Drosophila melanogaster: one gene and its partner. The gene in region 1 interacts genetically with each later gene. Each region holds a gene or a part of one and is shown in the gene's direction. Other genes may lie near its edges.

Region 1 (11,445 bases):
ATTGATAAAATTATTGTTGTTGACCGTGGTTGGCTCTCTTCTGGCCAAAGGAGCCTCGATGGGCGATTAGCCCAAAGCCAAAAGGTTGCTGTTGCCGTTGCGGTGGCCCCAACTGACCATTGCGAAAGGGGTAAGGGGGCGAACCCGACCCCCTTTCGCATGATGATGAAAATCAGCGAGTGCCGCATGGAAAACGAACTGGGAATGTGTATGGTAATGCGGATTGGGGGACCTCGTTCTGGATGCTAGGTGGCCAAATGAAATTTATTTCAATTTCATTTGATATTAATTGCTAATGGCCTTAAGATTGAATTCCAATGGCCTGCCTTATTTGGTGGTGCCCAAGTGGAGGAGGCCAAACAAATCGGGCCAGCGACTTCTCACTCGCGTACTACGAGTATGTTGGTGGCTTGTTAGGATTGTGTTTTTGGAAGCCCCTTCGAGTGGCTGGTGGCGCCACCACAACTATTTTTGGGATACAAATAAGGTACCGACATGGGGTCTCGCCCGCACAAATCTCTGACAGTTGAACGCCGTTTGTCGTTTGTCGTAATTAGCAGGCAAATGGTTAACTTACGATACCTTTACCCTTCTCGTGCCTTCTCCTTCCTCTGGAACTGCATTGGCATTGGGCCGTTTTGACCATTTGTGGCCGAACTGTGCGAAAGTTCAGTAGAACTGACTTTCGAAATGCAAGCGGCAACCCACACGCTGATACAATTAAGCCAAACACATGTCGTCCCCGTCGGAGATAAGCCATTTATTAACTTTTCACAAGACCTCCAAATGATGCCATAATCTCCGCTTTCGGTTAGACATATGGGAGAGAAGCCACGGCTATCTGCAGCGCCGCAAGATGCAAACAGATAGAACGGAAGCTGAATCGCTTGGCTTCCTGCAGAAGGTGGGATGCCCTGAAATTGGGAACTTTACATAGGGAACTTTAAATATAATTTCAAGCAGCTATAGTATACCACAAAGCAATAATAAGGCTTTAAACAATGTATACAAGTTTAGCAATGAACCCATTACTAACCTACATATATTCCAAACCTGTATATTTATATGAATATACAAATTATAGTCGAAAATGGCACATAGATATCATTCCATTGGTCATCCGACTTGATGAAGCCGTAATGCTTTCAGTAAAGACGGTAATTTACTGCTGCTAACTGCGGCTACTGTTTCGCTTCGGGACCTCCAACGAGCGCCGCTTGACAAGATCCCAGGCAGCAAACAAGCCCAAAGGAGCTGAAGCTCGGCCAACAATTGAACTGCAATAAAACAATTTACCCAAAATAGCGCTCGGCCCAAGAGCAATCTGCTGGTTAACCTGGCATCAGACTCCCATGGCACTGAGCAAAATCAGGGCTTGAAACATGTTCCATCATATATGGAAATAAAAGAATAAGCCAGCGATGAGTTACCGGTGGAATTGGATAATATTCCAATGAAATTTTCCATATTAAGATGTTTAATGCTTGCTTTTAATAATGGACATTCAATAGAATATTGTTTCTTTTTACAATAATCGATACGAACTTTGTTAGGTAAATACTTCAGGAAAGTCTTTCAAATATGTATTTTCTTTTTAATAATAATACAGCTTCATATGCACATTGTCTATACTTTTCAAATACATGTATATCGCCCTTATTGCCGCAAATGACACCACAATTGTTTCCAGTGTGCGATTGGCGCTGCTACTGGACTCTGGGCAACATTTATCATTGAAATGTGGCGTGCGGCTTCTACGCAGTCGCCGCAGCAGCCGAGGATGCTTTGCGGCACCAAAACGAGCTCCCGAAACTCTCTTTTGACTTTGGCGGTTTGCTTTGCATGTATGCGGTGTGGCAGGGCCCAAAGGGGCGCAACGCGGCGGGGGGCGTGGCAGTTGGCCGATAAACTAGGCCCAGTCAGTCGCGTAAGTCAGGCGGCAGTCGAATGGGAATGGGCGCAGGAAAATCAATTCATTGGCCCTGAACAGATTTCCCTTTATCTCCGGCAGACCCAAGACCTTTCATCTCTCGACTGGTCGTCGGTCGGCTGATTTGCATATGTTTTGGTACTTTGGAACCTCGGTACTTCGTACGTATGTAGTTGCGACAAAGGCCCTCATAATTGCTTGATTTAGCGACCCATTCAAGGCGAAAAGTCGGCGCCAGCCGCATCTCAGTAACTTGGCTTCCAGGCTAGCACCCGGTGTAAATTGTCGTCCGCGAATGCTACGTGTGGTGCTGCCATTACACTTGTAAAATAGTTGGCCAATAATGGGAAAGCTATGGGGAAGCACAATAAAATACGATTCCGAATAAGTAACTTCGATCTCTGAACCTTATGGTTCCTACAATATACCTTTATAGATACTATATTTATTTTGTCCTTTCTTTCTCTGTTTTTCCAAACAGAAAGTAAGTCTTTTGAGTTCAACATCGAATTCTATATTTTGTATTCCTAAAAAACTTTTTTTTTTAATAGCAACTTACTAAAATCGTAATTTTAATCTCTGTGCAGATTCTTTCTGTGTTTTTTTTTTAGTGGTAGTGGGTGTCTTGTCGCTTAAATTGCCAAGCAATTCATAAGTGTCAACGCGTCTCATATGAACGATGGTAACAAACTTGAGCAAGGGGGAAATGCTGGAGCTGATTTATGAGTTTGCTCGGTTTCCCGAATGGGTTAAGTCACAAATAGAACAAGTTTAAGAGTTCAAGCCGAGATAATATTTTAATAAATCCAAAAAATCACTGTTTTTCATTCCGTACCTTAATCTCTCACTCTCGACTTGTATAACTTTTTTTCGAAATAAATGCACAAAATCGAGTATCCCTGTAGTAAAGAACGGTTTTTTTCAAAACATTCTCGTTCTCTTAAGCTTACTACTTTCCCATCCTGTTGATTTCCAACTGTTCTCGTCTCGGCATACGATCAAAATATTTGCATAAGCAGCGTCCTGAATTACAGTTTAAGCCAGTAAACTCAAGCCAACAGAGTGCAAAGGGCCAACACAGTGGTGAGCAGCGTCATGTGCTCGCTGCAAATACAGATACACAGATACAGATACACCGAACCTGAGGACTTAAAACCCACCGAAGACGACGACGACAGCAGGCACGCGCCCCGATCCCGAATCCAAAACCCGAAAGGCGATTCATGAACTCAGGTACTAAGGGAAGGCAAGAAATGAGCAACAGCAAGGGAAAAACAAAAAAAAAAATACGAAAAAGGACCCAAAAATGTGCAACTGTTGGGCGATCTCATATGATCGCGGTCGGGTGAATAACCCGGAGAGGTTTCTTTAAAGAATCTCGATCTAGTGGAGCTTAGTTTATAATTTTCGACAGGAAAAAGCTGCTGCTGCTGGGAGATGAAAGATCTTATCGTATCTAATATCTGTGCGCGGGTTCGATCAAATTACAGTTCCGGTCAAGATTGAGCATTTGGTTCCGCTTTTTGTTTCGGGGATGAAGACAATGCAGCAGGGGCAACCGTTAACCTTAAGTTAATGATTTGGCCGATGCCTTTGCTTGCTGGTTGCTGCCTGCGCTTCAAGTGCAGCATATGGCATTTTTACTCCTCTTGCTGCGGCTTCAGCACAACTGACGCAGGATACGCAGGATACCCGGCCTACCTACGATCTGGGTTTCGGATCGGCGGCTCACTTCCTATCCTCCACATGGGCCCGCCAATCTGCCCATATCTCGCCCTTCTCTCTCGAGTATGTAAAAAGATCAATCAAATATTGTGTATTCCCTCGCCGAGTTCGATTCTCCCTAGGTGGAATTCTACTCGTATCTAGATGCCCACTTGACTTGGGCTGTTTTTTTAGGCATTTATACCGTGTAATAATAGGGAATGGGGGTGCACAGGGTATCGTTGGGGTATGATGGGTGTAGCGAGCGTATGAGGGGAGTGATAAGAACTGGCCAAGAACGTGGCCAATTGATATGAAAATCGCTATACCTCACGTTTTCGGACGATGTTTTTTTTTTTTGAAACATTCTTTTATTTATCTTTATTAAACGTTAAATGGGATAAATTGAAGTGATTAACTTAAACTCCTTAAATTAAGGGATTCTTGTTAATAGTTCCGTACTTCGTGTTTTCTAGGTCATCTCCTAGTCCTATGCCCTTAGAGCCGAAACTCCTTTATTTTTTTCCGGTTGCTTAGCTGGCACATTTTTCCCCGACTGCCGCTGCTGGTGTGCACCTGCTTTTCGGGAACAGGACGCGCGTCTTTTGACCGCAATCGTTGCCAGGACTGGCCTGGAAAGCAAAACCAAATAGCGCTCTTACAAGCCAGGTCGCTTAACTGTTTAGCCTGACGCGCTTACATCGCAGGGGATCGCACTTATGGCTTTTGAGGACGCGACGAATTATCCTGCAGAGCGTGTGCCAAAAAAACAAGAAACCGCAGCCCGCTGCTTTACACAAATCGCAAAGGCAAAACGAATCCGAGCCCCACTCACTTCGTCCTGGCACGAAACCACTTTCGTTTATTTTAATTTGGCTTGCGGTCAAGGGGATCGGTGCTTTGGGGGATTGGGAATGGGAATGGGGACTGGGGAATTGGCAGCCAGCCTGCTGCAATCTGACAAGAGCCTGCTGCATTTAATAACTGTTTTCGTTTTTGCCGCTGTTTTCTTATGCCCTACAAAGAGGAGCCACCAGCTTAAGCAGAGGGCTTTTAAATATCTTTATAATCAATGCTATACAGCAAATTTATCTTTCATGATTTGTTGTAAACGCTCATTCTTTGGTGAGAAATCCAATAAATTCTTAAAACTCTTTATTCTTTTTTAGCCCTTAAGAGTTTTAAATCCTAAAGCGTATCATTTAAACATGTATAAGGAAGATCCATAACTCCTTTTTAGATTTAAGAACAAGCGTAAATTAGCATAACTTGGCTGGTTTTTAATAAACAACTTTTTCGCTTCATTAAATAAAAGCTACCCGCAAAAGGGGATTCACGAATCGGCTTAAAATAAGATGACTCCTGGTGCTTTTTTATATCCCAACGCGTCTTCCCGTGTCTGCAAGACGGAGCCCCCGAGTGCTCACGACTTGGTCGTGGTATAGGAGTCAATGGCAATCCCGTTTTGTGGTGCACGTGCCACAATTTGCAGCTTGCCACGAGATGTTCACCGGTCGTTCCAGCTCTTATCTCGCAAAACAACGCGCCTCGGACTTAATTAATTTTTATTTATGTTAACGAGGACTTTGCTTTTAGTTAAATCAAAGTATAGGGTTCAGATGCAGATCCTTTTCGACTCAAGTTGAACTTTTGGTTTTTGTATGCTAAAAAGGACGCTTTTGTTTGATTGAAGCCTAACTAATTTACCGAGAAACGTGGGTCTTTTTGATGAGATCTACCAGACTTCGAAATTCATACCTGTTCTTATGTAATAAGTTATTATTTAGTATAAGTTTCTTTATTGATATTTTAGATCAGTTCAATTGTCAATTTTTATTCGCCTAGCAAAGGATATTCTTAAAATCATAATTTATATAAATACAATTTTCTCCATTTGACATATTTTCTGAAAAAGTCAACAAAGCCCAAAAACAAAACAAAACGAAATGATTTTTGTTGTATTTTTTTTTATTAAATTTAATTTAATAATTCTGAATTCAAACCCGTACAATTCTGTACATCTGTAAAATTTTACATACATCATACGTTTTAACGTTTGCAGCGACATCTAGTGGTGGTCTGGATTTTCCAAGTTCAAATGTAGAGTTCTCTTGGTGTTTTCCGATTAGGTGATCCTCAAGTGATTATCAACCATTCTTATTGCAATGTATTTAAACAACTTTAAAGGTTTATTTCCTCTTAAAAATATGTGGTTAGAAAAACAACTAAAAAAGTTTAAGAGTTCAAGCCGAGATAATATTTTAATAAATCCAAAAAATCACTGCTTTTCATTCCGTACCTTAATCCCTCACTCTCGACTTGTATAACTTATTTTCGAAATACAATGCACAATATCACAGGCTATTTTCGATTAGTTTCAGTTCTTTTATTCCATATAGGGTTGGACATCATGCTCCATGCGAGCGGCCTCAGTTTCTGCACCCACGGCGCAGGCTAGTAGTGAGTTGACCGTCTGCTCCTCACCTGCCTTGTAGACGTATCCATTAGCCTTGTCGATGTGATTGCGCAAGCGGAGCATGCTGTCCGTGCTGAAGACGTCCAGCAGTTGGAACGAAACGAGAGCGTAGTCCTCCACCATGGAGCAGATGGCTGCATTCAGTTTTCGATACTTGCGCATGGCGGGATCATCGTCCAGTTTGTCCAGCAGATACTTGAGGTCCAGGACGTCCGTATAATAGTCCACGTTAAAGTGTAACTTGGTCTCGTGCTTCTTTAGCAGATCGGCCTTGGAAAGCACATTAACGTGGGGTAGACTCATCCGCAACATGGTGTTCAATGCCATCAGCAAAGTGGCAATGAATTTGGCAGGCTCCGAGCAGTAATGGGAATCTATAAGGTTAACGGTGACCAGGCTATATCTTTCACGCTCCAAACGCTCGAAAATCCGGGCCATAGCGTTGTGATGGGTATATAGCTCAACTTGGCCGGGACAGTCGAACAGGAAGTAGTTGTAAGTGGCGCTTAGTTTGCGCAGTGCCGGCAACAGCCAATCCTCCAAATGGTCGGCCAGATACTCAGCGCAGTGCATTAGAGCTCCGTTTGGTCCCAGCTTCAGGTGCTCCATGCAATCCTCCACAGTGATTAGCTCCATCACACTTAGCACCGGTTCGTAGGACATGTTTTCGTTGGCTGGATCCAGATTCACAACGCCCACCTGACGGCCCAGTTCGCGATAGAACTTAAGGGCCTCACCGCAATAGGTGGTTTTCCCAGAACCAGGAGGTCCTATGATTAGCTGTCCATAACGTGGATTCTCCACGGTCGCCTGCGTCGGAAATCTTTGCATCATTCTTGCGGAAAATGAAAAATATAAACAATGGTAGAGGTGGGGAACCACAGAGACCGATTAATTTATTTGGCGCAATTTATCGATATTTAGATAGTTTTTGAAAAATATACATTTTATTAAATTAGATAAAAATACAATTTTGATTATATATTTCCTTTTCAAATATAGGAAATTGAAAACTCAATCCCAAAAAAAAAAACAATTTTTTAGTGTATAATTAAAAACGGTAGCAATTAGTAGTTACTGTTAGTATAAAACACAGAACAATATATTTTTAATTTCCTTCCAGTTCACTTCGCTGTTAAAAAGGGGTAAACGCAGCGCAAAGTCGATATAAAGCAAAGAAAAAACCATCGATGACGACGATGGTGAAAACATCGATCTTAGCCCACCACTAATCGTCGGCGAACTTGAGTTTGGTGTTTTCATTTATCCGCGGAATTTCGCACTAATTAGTAAAGGCTTCAGGAGCACCGAGAAATCACCAGAATGGCACAACCCCAACCACCGGCGTACGAAAACAGTGAGTTGGAATCCCACAGAGATAAACTGGAGTCATGAATCCGATCCCACTCCGAATGTGATACGTAGAGAGGGGGATGAGTCAACAGGCGAAAAACGGTAAAAGCAGAAAGCAATCGCCGGAAGCACCGTGATTATGCCCATAAATGGGCATAGATGCATATGAAAGACCTTTTTAAGCAGTAAGAGGAGGCGCGTGTGGAGCCGTTGGAGCGACCCCGTTCCCGTTCGCTCCCCAAAAACGAAGCCGCACCCTATTTTCCACCCACTCCAATTTGCCGGCGTTATCTGAGTAGCAGCAGTCACAGCCCATTTCTAATCGAAATAATCGCTTAATTGCAGAAAACATCTACGCAACTCTGCCGCGCACCCAACGCGGCCAACCCATCGTTTTGGGTGCCGATCCCAAGGGCAAGAACTTCCTGTACACCAATGGAAACTCTGTGATCATCCGGAACATCGAGGTAAGCTGATATATGCTGCAGCCTGCTGCTCCGTTCCTGCCATAAATCCATGGCATTTACGTCCAAATGGTGTTTTATTTTTGGACAGGCTGCAGTTTCTGTTGCCAGTTTGTGTGTGCTTTCTGGCTTTCGGGCAGCTGTTCTATATTTATTTATATATATATGTACAGTATATAAGGCGCAAAACACAGATTCCCATTCCACAGGCCAACCGGCAAAACACAGACTGGCACATAGATACATTTCTTGTTTGCCGCCCACGCATCATCATTATGATGTTTTCATCTGGTCAAAGTGATTCTTCACAGCAGCTATGTGTTTGCCTATCTTTCACCCATTGAATCGGTATAAATTCAAAATATTTCCATGTTTCTTTGTCTTTTGTCCCGATAATCCCGCCACTTCTATGGTATCTTTAATGATCAAGAAATAAAATCTTCCGCCAAAAGATATTCAGGTTCTGGAAAATGAAATGTTAATGAAGGAAACATACATAACAAATTCAAAACCAAACACCTATGTTCATAATTAGGATCCCATTTACCATTAATTTGTTTTAATTTGCTAAAAGTGTCTCTAAAATATGTATGTATGCTTTTCCCTTTCTTCCGCACCATAGAATCCAGCCATTGCCGATGTCTACACGGAGCACTCGTGTGCAGTGAACGTGGCCAAGTACTCGCCCAGCGGATTTTATATTGCATCTGGTGGTAAGTCTCGCCCAGCAATTTCACACTTGGAGCACCCGGCTTTCGGCAACAGAGCATAAAAATCGTGACCACTATGAGTCACGCCACGGTCATGATTAGCATTTCCTTATTTGGAGCGGTTTCTTTATCTTATCTGCGGTTTTGAAGCGAGCAATGTTATTTATTTGGCTTTCTCCTCTTCTCACCAGACGCCTCCGGCAAGATTCGCATTTGGGACACGGTCAACAAGGAGCACCTGCTTAAAAATGAGTTCCAGCCCATTGCAGGACCCATCAAGGATATTAGCTGGTCGCCAGACAATCAGCGCATCGTTGCCGTGGGTGAAGGACGCGAACGTTTCGGTCATGTCTTTATGTCTGAAACCGGCACGTCTGTGGGCGAGATCAGTGGCCAGTCCAAGTCTATTAACTCGGCGGACTTCCGGCCAGCCAGGCCATTCCGCATTGTTACGGGTGAGTTCACATAATAGTCCCAAAATGCAATAAACTTACTTACACACACACACTTGTTATTACAGGCAGCGAAGACAATACTATCGCCGTGTTCGAGGGACCCCCGTTCAAGTTCAAGATGACCAAGCAGGATCACTCTCGCTTCGTCCAGGCTGTGCGCTACTCGCCCGATGGCAAATTCTTCGCCTCCGCCGGCTTTGATGGCAAAGTCTTTCTGTACGATGGCACCAGCTCTGAACTGGTGGGCGAATTTGGATCTCCTGCCCACAAGGGCGGCGTTTACGCATTGGCCTGGAAACCAGACAGCACCCAACTGCTAACCTGCTCCGGCGACAAGACGTGCCGCCTTTGGACAGTGGAGTCGCGCGAGCTGGTTAGCGAGTTTGTGATGGGCACCACTGTGGACGACCAGCAGGTGTCCTGCTTGTGGCAAGGAGACAACCTAATCACCGTCTCGCTTTCGGGCGTGATCACCTACCTCAATGTGGCGGATCCCTCGAAACCGCTGCGTGTGGTGAAGGGCCACAATAAGCCCATCACCGTGCTGGGACTGAGCGATGACCGCAGCACCATATACACGGGTAGCCACGATGGCGTGGTGACCAACTGGAACTCGGGCAGCGGCACCAACGATCGCATCACGGGCACTGGACACGGAAACCAGATCAACGGCATTGCCGCCTGGGGTGACTTTGTCTATACCTGTGGCATCGACGACAGCCTACGCCAGTTCAGCGTGGAGGGCAACTCCTACACGGACTATGTGGTGAAGCTTAACTGCCAGCCACGTGGCTTGGCCATTTTGCGCAACGAGAACATCATTGCACTTGCTTGCATCAAAGAGTTGACTCTCGTGCAGGACCAGAAGAAGATCTTTTCGCTGCCCATTAAGTACGAGGCTAGCTCGATTGCCGTTAATGCGGACACTTCCGATGTTGCTGTCGGCGGGGATGACCAAAAGTTGCACATCTACACCCTGAAGGGCGGAGTATTGGAGCCCAAAGTGGAGCTGGATCACTTGGGAGCTGTCACGGATGTTTCTTATTCGCCGGACTTGAAGTATTTGGTGGCTTGCGATGCCCATCGCAAGGTGGTGCTCTACTCAGTGGAGGAGTACAAGGTATTAAGGAATCATAAATGTCTTAATTCCATTACTAATCGAGTGTATTTTAAAAGCCTGCACACAACAAGGAGTGGGGCTTCCACAGTGCTCGCGTAAATACGGTGGCCTGGTCGCCCAACTCGCTGCTGGTTGCTAGTGGATCATTGGACACTACTATCATTATCTGGTCCGTGGCCAATCCGGCCAAACATACTATCATCAAGAGTAAGTATTTCAAAAAGAGTAGTAAGCTTTAAGCGATATCTGACATATTGTTTTCTGCCCACTCCAGATGCCCATCCGCAGTCGCAAATCACTCGGTTGGTCTGGCTGGACAATAACACTGTGATCTCCACCGGACAGGACTGCAACACCAAGGTGTGGCACGTGGAAAACATTTAAATGCGCCGGCCGTGAAGCATATTTTTATACTTATCCAGGGAGAGCAGCCAGCAGCGCCCTGGCTTCATTTCATTTAAGTGCAACAGTTTACATTTAGATATTTATGTCTTTTTCCCCGCCCTCCCCGCACACCTCATGTCATGTCTTTAATTTTAAGCCAAAAGTGTTTGCTAATCATCATATCATGGATATTCAACTACTTTGCCCCACTATCATTTTCGTATGTGTTTTTCGAACAATTTTTATACTACTGGAACTACGAACTACGAAAGGAAACACAAAGATATGTAAAGTACGCCAGCGTACATAAATTATTGTATTATGAAATGAAATATACTAGTTTTTGCATAGCTCGCCGATTACTTTTCTCCATTTGGTTGCGATCGGGAAAATTAGCTAAACACGCACAATTTCTTTGGCTTCTTAAACATTTATTCCTTTGAAAATTGTGTTTTTTTTTTTTTTTGGTTTGGTAGGTCTTCACCCTGTCTTTTTGTGTGCAAGTGTGTGTGCGTGTTCAGGTGTATAATTACAATATTTATAAAAACTTGGCTTAGATTACTAGAATGTGTGGACGTGTGCTTGTGAGAGAGCGTGAAAGCGAAAGGATTGTGTTTGTAACTTGCAGTTTGAGAGCCTCGGAGGTTGCTAAAGTTTCAGAAAAAATAAACGTAAATTGTGCTAAACGTAAGTACATAAATTAAGATAGCTAGAAAGGCGCTCGAGTGCAGAAGACGAAAAACGAATTGCGCTAATTATCACAGCCGGGTCTAAGACGTTGGTTTCGGTGGGACTAAAAGTTGACATATTCATATGTTGGGCACCTCATGAGTGGGTGATGAAAATTGG
Region 2 (8,718 bases), on another chromosome or scaffold:
TAGAAAGATTCTCGGTAAACTCGCAGCCAAATATGGTTCTCAATGTGTTTTCTGCCTCGAATTCCTTTTCTTCATTACTGAGCTTAGGTCCGGAGTGGTTATGAAGAGCTAAAAAACTTACACTACATCAAAAAATTAAAAAGTTTTAAATAGCAAAATGTATAAGGCTCCTACTTATTATACAGTTTACAGAGAAGTTCCTTAGGGGGTTTCCGTAAATCCGAGGATTTTGGCACTATCACATTCCTTGAAAGGTATTCTTCCATATATTTCTGTCTATGCTTCACCAGCTGCTCCCGGGTGTATTCAATTCGTTTGTCTACTATTAGCTTTCTTTTCCGATTTTTCGGGTGGCTAAATGTTATTTCTCCAAAAGAATTTAAAACGGATGGCAACGACGGTTCACAAACTATCTGAGTTACTTCAGCTGGTTCAATGTTATGCGGAAAGATTTGGGTCATGATAGCATTGTCAGCTTGGAAAACATCGCAATCATCCAATCTGGGCATTTTATCCGGTAAGATGTCAGTTGGATCCTGAGCTATTGAGTGTCGCTTTACTATAATACAAAAAAATAGTTTATTACATTTTCAATTGAATTGAGAATTCTTACGTGAGTTCCGTGTGCCATCTTTGGGGTAAAGCTCTTGAAAAATGGTTAAGTCCGCGCCCTCGGCTTCGCCAAAACCATTTGATGGCATAATTAAGCTATGATCTTCGGGAAGTTCAATCTCTTCGGTGATTGTAATGGAATGATACGACTTTGACTGAGTGCAACTCCGGGGTTGTTCAATAGACTTTTTGCGAAAAATGAAATCATATAAGGAAGCAGTCCAACAGTATATTGACGACTAACCTCGTTCAGGTCCTCCACCACCTGTTGTGTGCACTCCGTTTGCCACATCTGGCATTCGGATAGCATCTTCTCGTAGTATTCATGTGAGAATTCATCCAATAGATCCGATTCCTGCAGTCTGGGACGTTTTGATACTGTTACTTTAGATTTCTTGGTGATCACCCGCTTTCCTTTGCGTTGGATTCGAATCTCTGATTTGTTGACCACTACGGATTTTGTTGTGGTGAGAACGTAATCCAAGTTGGTACGTGTACATTGGTCAAGTAATACCTTCGTGTCCCCTGTAAGAATTCGTGATTATATATCAATGTTACGTAATATTCGGACTAATACTTACCCAAAAGTAGATCCACTTGGCATCTAAAAATATCCGCAACTCCAAAAACCAAGCGGGAAATGTCCTTGAAAATAACATTTTGCCGGTTTCTTGCGGCCAAAACATTGGATCGTTTCTGGCGTTTTCTTAATGCATTTTCCTCAATTAATTCGGTGATTTGCTTGCTGAAATGTAGATAAATGTTGAAAACAATTGAATATAATGAAATGTTAAAAAAATTCATTATATTTAATATTTAATTACCAGCAGGCGACTACATCCACATCAGCGATCTCATTTCGATTAAGTTGGCCAAATGCCGATTTCCTCGGTTTGCGCCCTCCCGCTTTCCAGCAGGAATTAAGGATGTTGCTCTCATATAAATTCAAGCTCATTGTAACTACGACATTAAGCACATAGATTATAGTATTAACTATTTATAAGTTAGTGCTCTCTGTAACAACCCTAAAGTAACGGTACTTTTTTGACAGTCCATCAGCCACTAGAGAGGACAAACATGATCCAAATATCGTATACGAACGATTTTTACCTACTATAAAATAATGATAAGTTTTAAGTATATCTACAAAACATTTTTAAAAAAGAGCGTTCCTATTTCAATCTAAAAAATACATTTCAATTATTTTTAATAAATTCCATAAATAATACCAATGTTGCCGTAAAGAAAAAAGCTTAATGAAAAAAAAACCTTTAGCAAATATTGTTATTATTTTTTAATTTATCAGAAACGTCGTTTAACAACACTTCACATATTTTTGATGCAGCACAGAATATTATTTGGCGTTCAGTGAACGGTCTCACTGCAGGAACAACAAAACAAAACTCAGAATAAACGACAGTATTTAAACGATTCCTTAAGGACAAGTGATATTGCATTCCTACAATTAACTGCCAAAAATTCGGTAGTGCAGCACACTTTACAGATCGCATCCCTAACTTCATAGCTAAAGTTATGGTAGGAAGTGTATATAGGGTCGGAAATCAATTACCAAAATGAAAACATGACTAATAGAGTGTGGGCGTGTTTTTGTTTTTGTTTTTCAATCGACGATTGTTGTTAGCAGATAACTTTGGTGATTCCAATTCATTAATCAATTATATCGATTTCATACAGAGTGATAACCAGATATGCGACATAAGCAACGAAGTTCTGGAGGAATTGAAGAAGTTTCGATTCAGCAAGAGCAAAAATAATGCGGCTTTGATATGTAAGCCTTGATTGTCATGGTAACAGATGTGTGTAGTTTTTATGACCACTCCATTGTCCCTTGCAGTGAAAGTCGACCGGGAGAAGCAAACGGTGGTGCTGGACGAGTTCATCGACGATATTTCGGTGGACGAGCTGCAGGATACATTGCCAGGACACCAGCCCCGATATGTCATCTATACGTATAAAATGGTCCATGACGATCAGCGCATTTCGTACCCAATGTGCTTCATATTCTACACACCCAGGGATAGCCAGGTGGGAGTTTAGCAATGCTCAAATATATTCTATAATTCATAACTCTCTGTTTCAGATCGAATTGCAGATGATGTACGCCTGCACGAAGAGCGCTCTTCAGCGCGAAGTAGATCTCACACGCGTCTACGAGATACGCGAACTAGACGAACTCACCGAGGAGTGGCTGAAAGCCAAGCTCAAGTAGAGAGGTTTCGATCTCTGGGATCAATCAATCCGGGCCGTTGTCAAAAGCAATATTTTATGATAGTTCTCTGATTGATTTTTGAGCTTTTTATATACATATTCAAACTGGATTAAGCCGATACCAACGATGCATACCAATACCAAACAAACCAATATTGAGATACTACAATTTTTACCTACAGAAAACACAAATCAAGCTTAGTTTATACAACAATGACATTTTTATATCGACGACAAGTATGCGACAAGTACGCGCGGGGAGTTTTTAGTGATTTTAGTTCTTGCATTTAAGTAATAATCTTAATAGAAGCTGTGCTTGCCAAATTTCTACATGTATTTATTGTAAAGATATAAAAGCAAACATGACAAAATATTCCATTTTATATAGACAAACTAAATAAAAGTGTTCAATATCAAAACATAATCTAAAACAATAATTATGATTAAGATAAATCTTCGTAGCTATACTCTAATAATGTAGTCTTTGTGCCGCCGTGTGGTGCAGCATAGTGTAACGTCCTTCACTTGGCGTTGGCGGTGGAGGCGGCGGCGGTGCCAACATGTGAGCCATTGCAGCCATTCCCATTTGTGTGGCGGGATTCGGTGGGCCGAGATGATGCAGTGCATCGTGATGGTAGTGATGCGACATAGGTGGTGCAGGAGGCAACGGCAAATTCAGTAGATTATTATTCGCCGCATGCGTGCGAAAATGTAGACTTAGGCTGTCCGCCGTATCAAATGCCTTGTCGCAATCCGGACACTTGAAGTGGGCGTGATCGAGGGTGTCCAGACCCACGGGATCCGTGTCTATAGCCTCATCATCATCATCATCCACTATATCATGGTTTGTACTGGACTCCAGAGGATGAAGCTTCAATTTATGAGTCCGCATATCTCTTCGCCTGCTGAAAGCCTTGCCGCAGACATCGCAGTGATGGTTTTTGATGCCCGTATGGGTTATCATGTGCTTGGAGAGATCACCGGCGGTGTAGAAACCTTTCTGACATAGCGAGCATACCTGATCCCGCACTCCTAAATGAATCTTCTGGTGCGCCTGGAAATTGCCTAACGCGGAAAACTGCTTTGAGCAGATCTCACACTGAAAAGGCTTGTCGCCCGTGTGCGTTCTTTCGTGGACTTTAAGATTGTACTTTTGGGCGAATCTCTGGATACAAAAGCTGCATTGGTAGGGTTTCTCGCCAGTATGTGTTCTTATATGCTGTGTTAATTGGGCAATGCATTTGAAGCTTTTGTGGCACTCGTAGCAGGTGTGGGGCATCTTTGGCACAGGTTTGGGCCCCCGTTTTTTGTGCTCTTCTGGCGGCTTTCTTTGATAGCGCGACCGCCTCTTGCTCACTTTGGCATCCACGGGTTCCTCTTCATCGCTATCGCGCTGCGGAAGCAACGGCTTCTCCACAAAGTCCGTATTGGTGGCCGCATCCTGGCGCCAGGATTCCAGAATGCCCAGATATTGTCGCAGTCGGAGATCACTGTTTTCGCATTCCTGCTTGAAGTGGAAGGCCACCCCCAGCCGGTAAATACAGTTGTTGCAGATCACCGAAGGTAGGCCATCGGTTTTAAAAACCTAAAACAATTTCCATATGCCAATTAACATTGAAATATTTTGTTTTTAGAACCCACTCTTATTTTAGCGCATTGCATCAACATTACGGAGGGCATCATAGCAAAGTCTGTACTATATATCGAAGTTACAGGATGTAGTTCCTCCAGGCAAACTCTGCATATTTTGTGGATATTATAGTCCATGTTTTATTTCAATTTTATAGAAATCAACAAAAAAATTATTGAAAATTTTGCTCTAAACTCCTATCAGCTGATTGGGACCAGGGCTGCAACGGTACAGTCGTAACTCTAGCTTGTGAAACAAATCTATCATATATGATTAAATTTGTTTCGCGTGTTTAAAATGAATTTCATACTCAATGTGGATTCATTTCCGCAAATATGCAAAAGATATAGTAATATTTTGGTGAGCTACTTCAACTACTAATTACGTTGATAAGTGTTGATAACAATGATTACATAAATATTTAAAACCCACCTTTGTTTTACGAATTATATAAAAAATGCACATACATGTACCGCTAAATATTTATTGCATATTATCTGAATTATTTTCATTTATGAAATTTGGGTAAAAACTGTAGGAATAGGCAGGGCTGCACATGCGATACGGCGTTGCCACCTTCAACGAAAAAGTGTAACCTTTTTTCGTTTTTGCGCTGACGTGACGTGACAGTTGATTTGTTTGATTAAAATAACTAAGAGTAAAATCGCAGCCAAATCGATTTGCGCCACTAACCCGGAATCGATAGCCGGAAGCAAAGACGCAGCCGGAAAAGGAGAGGCATATAAGAAGAACGATCCTCGCACCGGTCGAGGAAAAGAGAGAGAGAGAGAGGGGCAGCGAGAGAGAGAGAGCGTGAGAAACTGGGAGCTGCACGGGTGAAATTTCGTGGTTTCGGGACCCCGACCACCTGAGCTCTCCACCCCCCGCTGATAATATACATATCCCCGCATATATTCCCCACTTTCAAGATGCTGTGTATACAATATTAGCGATTATCGAGACCAGGCAGCGCATGTGCCGGCATCCAAAAAGGCACAAATTGAATACTTTAACTATTGTAAACAAATTCTGGAGAGGAGGTGACCAAGGTCAAACAATCCGACGAATACGAATACCTGGCGGCTAGTCTCGTTTCACTCCACCGCAAAGTGCCAGTTAACCAGTGCCGCTTGCCATGGCCACAAGCAGCCAGCTGTTGCCCAATGGCAACTTGTCCAGGAATGGCAAGACCAAGACAGAGGACGGTGAGGAGGTGGAAGCCGTTGTTGGAGCTCGTGCAGCAGGTGCAGATGCCGGAGTAGCACTAACGGGACGACTAACAGGACACCCATCCACATCCGGAACGTTTATGAAACTGAAAACCTATCTCCTAGCTCTGCGTCCCTGGTCGCTGTCCGCCAGTCTGGTTCCAACGCTGCTCGGCTCAGCCCTGGCCTACCGCTCCCAGTGGGCGGAGGAGTTTTCGCTGGCCACCTTCTTTCTCACCGCCTTCACCGTGGTCACCGTCCACTGCGCCGGCAACGTAGTTAACACCTATTTCGACTTCATCAAGGGCATTGACAAGCAGAAAGCCGACGACCGCACGCTGGTGGATCACATACTCACCAAGGATGAGGTGAGCAATCGAACGGATGGATCAATCAAGCCAATAGAGTGCAGATCCGTCCATAGAGCATAGAGCCTACTCTTATCCTTCGGAAAGTAAAACTTCAAAAAAGTAAAATTCAAACATTTTTCGATTTTTCTGACGTGTTCACCAAAATTCCACATTTGCAAATACAGTATTCCGAAAAATCAAATTATATGCAAAGAAACTCGCGAGCACTTCTAAATCTTTAATGGCAAAACGTGATATTTAAATTCAAATTTGTCAGTGGCGAAGCAAAGATTCTCAAATTTTCTTTTTAAATTAACAAAAACAATTTTAAACACCTAAAATATTTGAAAATGCATTCAGTGTATGTGTGTACATTTCAGATGAACAGAAATTAAATTAGTTTTATATACGTTCAGAAAAAAACGTGCCGAAATCATAAACCATTTTGGAAGCGAAAACAATATCAAGAATTGGTAGCAATTAGCAAGGTACTAATTCAAATCAAGGGCAAATATATTAGAGAGTATTCAAACAATAATACTTTTAAATTTATAATTTTATCGAATTTCTATAGGACAATTTTTTCCGTTTTATAATGGAATTTAATTGGAATATGCATAAATTAATTATGACAGCATGACAGCAGATTTAATCCTTATCCGCAATTATAAATAATAAATATTTGTTAATTTGCAGGTGGTATCGCTGGGTGCCATTCTGTACATGGCTGGCTGTGGAGGATTTGTTTTGCTGGCTGTGCTCAGTCCGGCGAAAATGGAGCACCTGGCACTGATCTACTTCGGGGGATTGTCCTCGAGCTTCCTGTACACCGGAGGCATTGGTTTCAAGTACATCGCCCTGGGAGATCTGGTTATACTGATACTCTTTGGACCCATCTCGGTGCTATTCGCCTTCATGTCGCAAACAGGTCATTTGGACTGGACGACAATGGGCTATGCGATTCCTTTGGCTCTCAACACGGAGGCCATCCTGCACAGCAACAACACAAGGGATGCGGACAACGATCGCCGGGCTGGAATCGTAACGCTCGCCATTTTGATAGGCCGTACAGCATCGCACGTTCTGTATGCCATGCTGCTCTTTGCACCCTACTCATTGTTCTTCATCTTCGGTTTGAAGTACTCTCTGTGGTTCCTGCTGCCGCTGGTAACCCTGCCGCAAGCGTTCCAGATTGAGAAACGTTTCCGCAACGAACAGACGATGCATCTGGTGCCTCGGCAAACAGCCAAGCTGAACTTCTTTTTTGGCATCTTGTACGTGGTGGCCTGCTGTTGTGCCCATCAGTTGCCCACCTTTGGATTGCGAAGAAATTGATAGACGGGTTAAACGTACGGATCTGGCGGAAAATCTGAATCAGTGAGAACCTGGTGCAATGTTTTAGGGAATTTCATTAGGTTTTAGTCAATGTGAGTAACATAAAGGATGGGAGAATGAAGCTTTGTCAGCTTCTCACAGTTTGACGTTGCGCAAATTTCGAATGCTGCTAGTCGCCCGTTTGATTCTAAACTTTTGAACTGAACATATCCTAGCCCTAATGGGTCGATTAACTTGAGAGAAAACCTATGGTTAATGTAAGACATTTTGAAATACGGATTACAGTCCTAGTATCAGCTTAACAGTTTACTATTTCGTTTCCAAACGATAATCCATAGGCATTGTGCAAACATAAATGGAATTTAATCCAATTGGATAAGCTAAAAAGTCTCTAACCAAATGCATACTTAAAATAAATATTAACATTATTTGGCAAATATTTTGATAGTCAAATGTTAAGATCTGAAACATTTTATTTGCTTTCAAGTTGTTTAAACCAAAAGTATGATATTAGACAATTAATTTCTATGTCAAAAATTGCTTAAATTGCCCAAAGGTTTGGCGACCATCGACCTTAACCTATCCCACTCGCTTTTTATTTATTTCATATCGTCTCAATTTTAAGTCCTAACCAATCAATGTTATTAATAATAATCATACTCTTCCTCTCGCTCGTTGGGAATCACGGACCAAGAACGTTTTGTGCAGCAGCAACCAACCAATAATTGTAATTCAACTCACTTTTATATTATTCGAAACAATATATATATTTATATATATCACCACATTCACACGGGTGCAGATACTTAAGTTTCGCGAATCAAAATGCAGATTTACTTTATGAATAGAAGTGCTTGAAAATGCGGCTAAGTTGAAAGTTTTTTTTCGGCAATTGGCTGGCTTGCTTTGTGAGTTTTATATTATATAATATTTATAATATTATATACACGAACACGAGCATATATATATATATTTATACACAAATCTAGATCATGTAAGCCCAGTGTCTAGCGGCAGGCTCAGAGTGAGAATTATATAAAGGAAAAATCGTGGAAAAAAGCAAAACGAAAACAGAACACAAATTACAATTTTTAAATAACTATATACGTATGTAGATGTCGAGGCGAAGGAGCAACAATTGTTTTCCATTAACAATAGCGTATGCATATAAACAAATAGCTTTAAATAACAAACAGATGAGGAGAAAGCCAAAACCCATTCGCATTATACATTATAATCTATTGTGTAACTGAACATTTGTGTGGCAATATTTATTTGTACGCTAGATTTTTGTATATTCATTCATTCTTTTGTATATCGCATAAAGAAATGCTTCTGTTGGAATCGCTCAGTA

What was found.
Region 2: of flr (region 1) and GMF, changing one enhances a phenotype caused by changing the other (phenotypic enhancement), as found in Drosophila melanogaster (one study listed by BioGRID).

The regions. Positions count from the first base shown.
Region 1 is NT_037436.4:13,405,509-13,416,953, forward strand, and holds flr (flare), read left to right. Parts: upstream 1-7,334; 5' UTR 7,335-7,433; coding exon 7,434-7,467; intron 7,468-7,497; exon of another isoform or gene 7,498-7,543; coding exon of another isoform or gene 7,544-7,565; intron 7,566-7,808; coding exon 7,809-7,930; intron 7,931-8,549; coding exon 8,550-8,640; intron 8,641-8,828; coding exon 8,829-9,092; intron 9,093-9,157; coding exon 9,158-10,212; intron 10,213-10,268; coding exon 10,269-10,419; intron 10,420-10,486; coding exon 10,487-10,596; 3' UTR 10,597-10,945; downstream 10,946-11,445. Other genes in the region: CG10222 (uncharacterized protein), read right to left, coding at 6,021-6,944. UniProt on the Drosophila melanogaster protein: Induces disassembly of actin filaments in conjunction with ADF/cofilin family proteins. Together with GMF, promotes Arp2/3-nucleated actin filament array disassembly. Essential for organismal and cell viability.
Region 2 is NT_033779.5:16,296,201-16,304,918, reverse strand, and holds GMF (glia maturation factor), read left to right. Parts: upstream 1-1,964; 5' UTR 1,965-2,145; coding exon 2,146-2,148; intron 2,149-2,307; coding exon 2,308-2,401; intron 2,402-2,467; coding exon 2,468-2,658; intron 2,659-2,713; coding exon 2,714-2,842; 3' UTR 2,843-3,263; downstream 3,264-8,718. Other genes in the region: c(2)M (crossover suppressor on 2 of manheim), read right to left, coding at 1-122, 175-559, 614-797, 857-1,137, 1,194-1,357, 1,437-1,567; CG17328 (uncharacterized protein), read right to left, coding at 3,311-4,426, 4,483-4,608; heix (heixuedian), read left to right, coding at 5,607-6,047, 6,726-7,364. UniProt on the Drosophila melanogaster protein: Inhibits Arp2/3-mediated actin nucleation. Together with flr, promotes Arp2/3-nucleated actin filament array disassembly. Promotes debranching. Regulates lamellipodial protrusion dynamics possibly by facilitating lamellipodial retraction.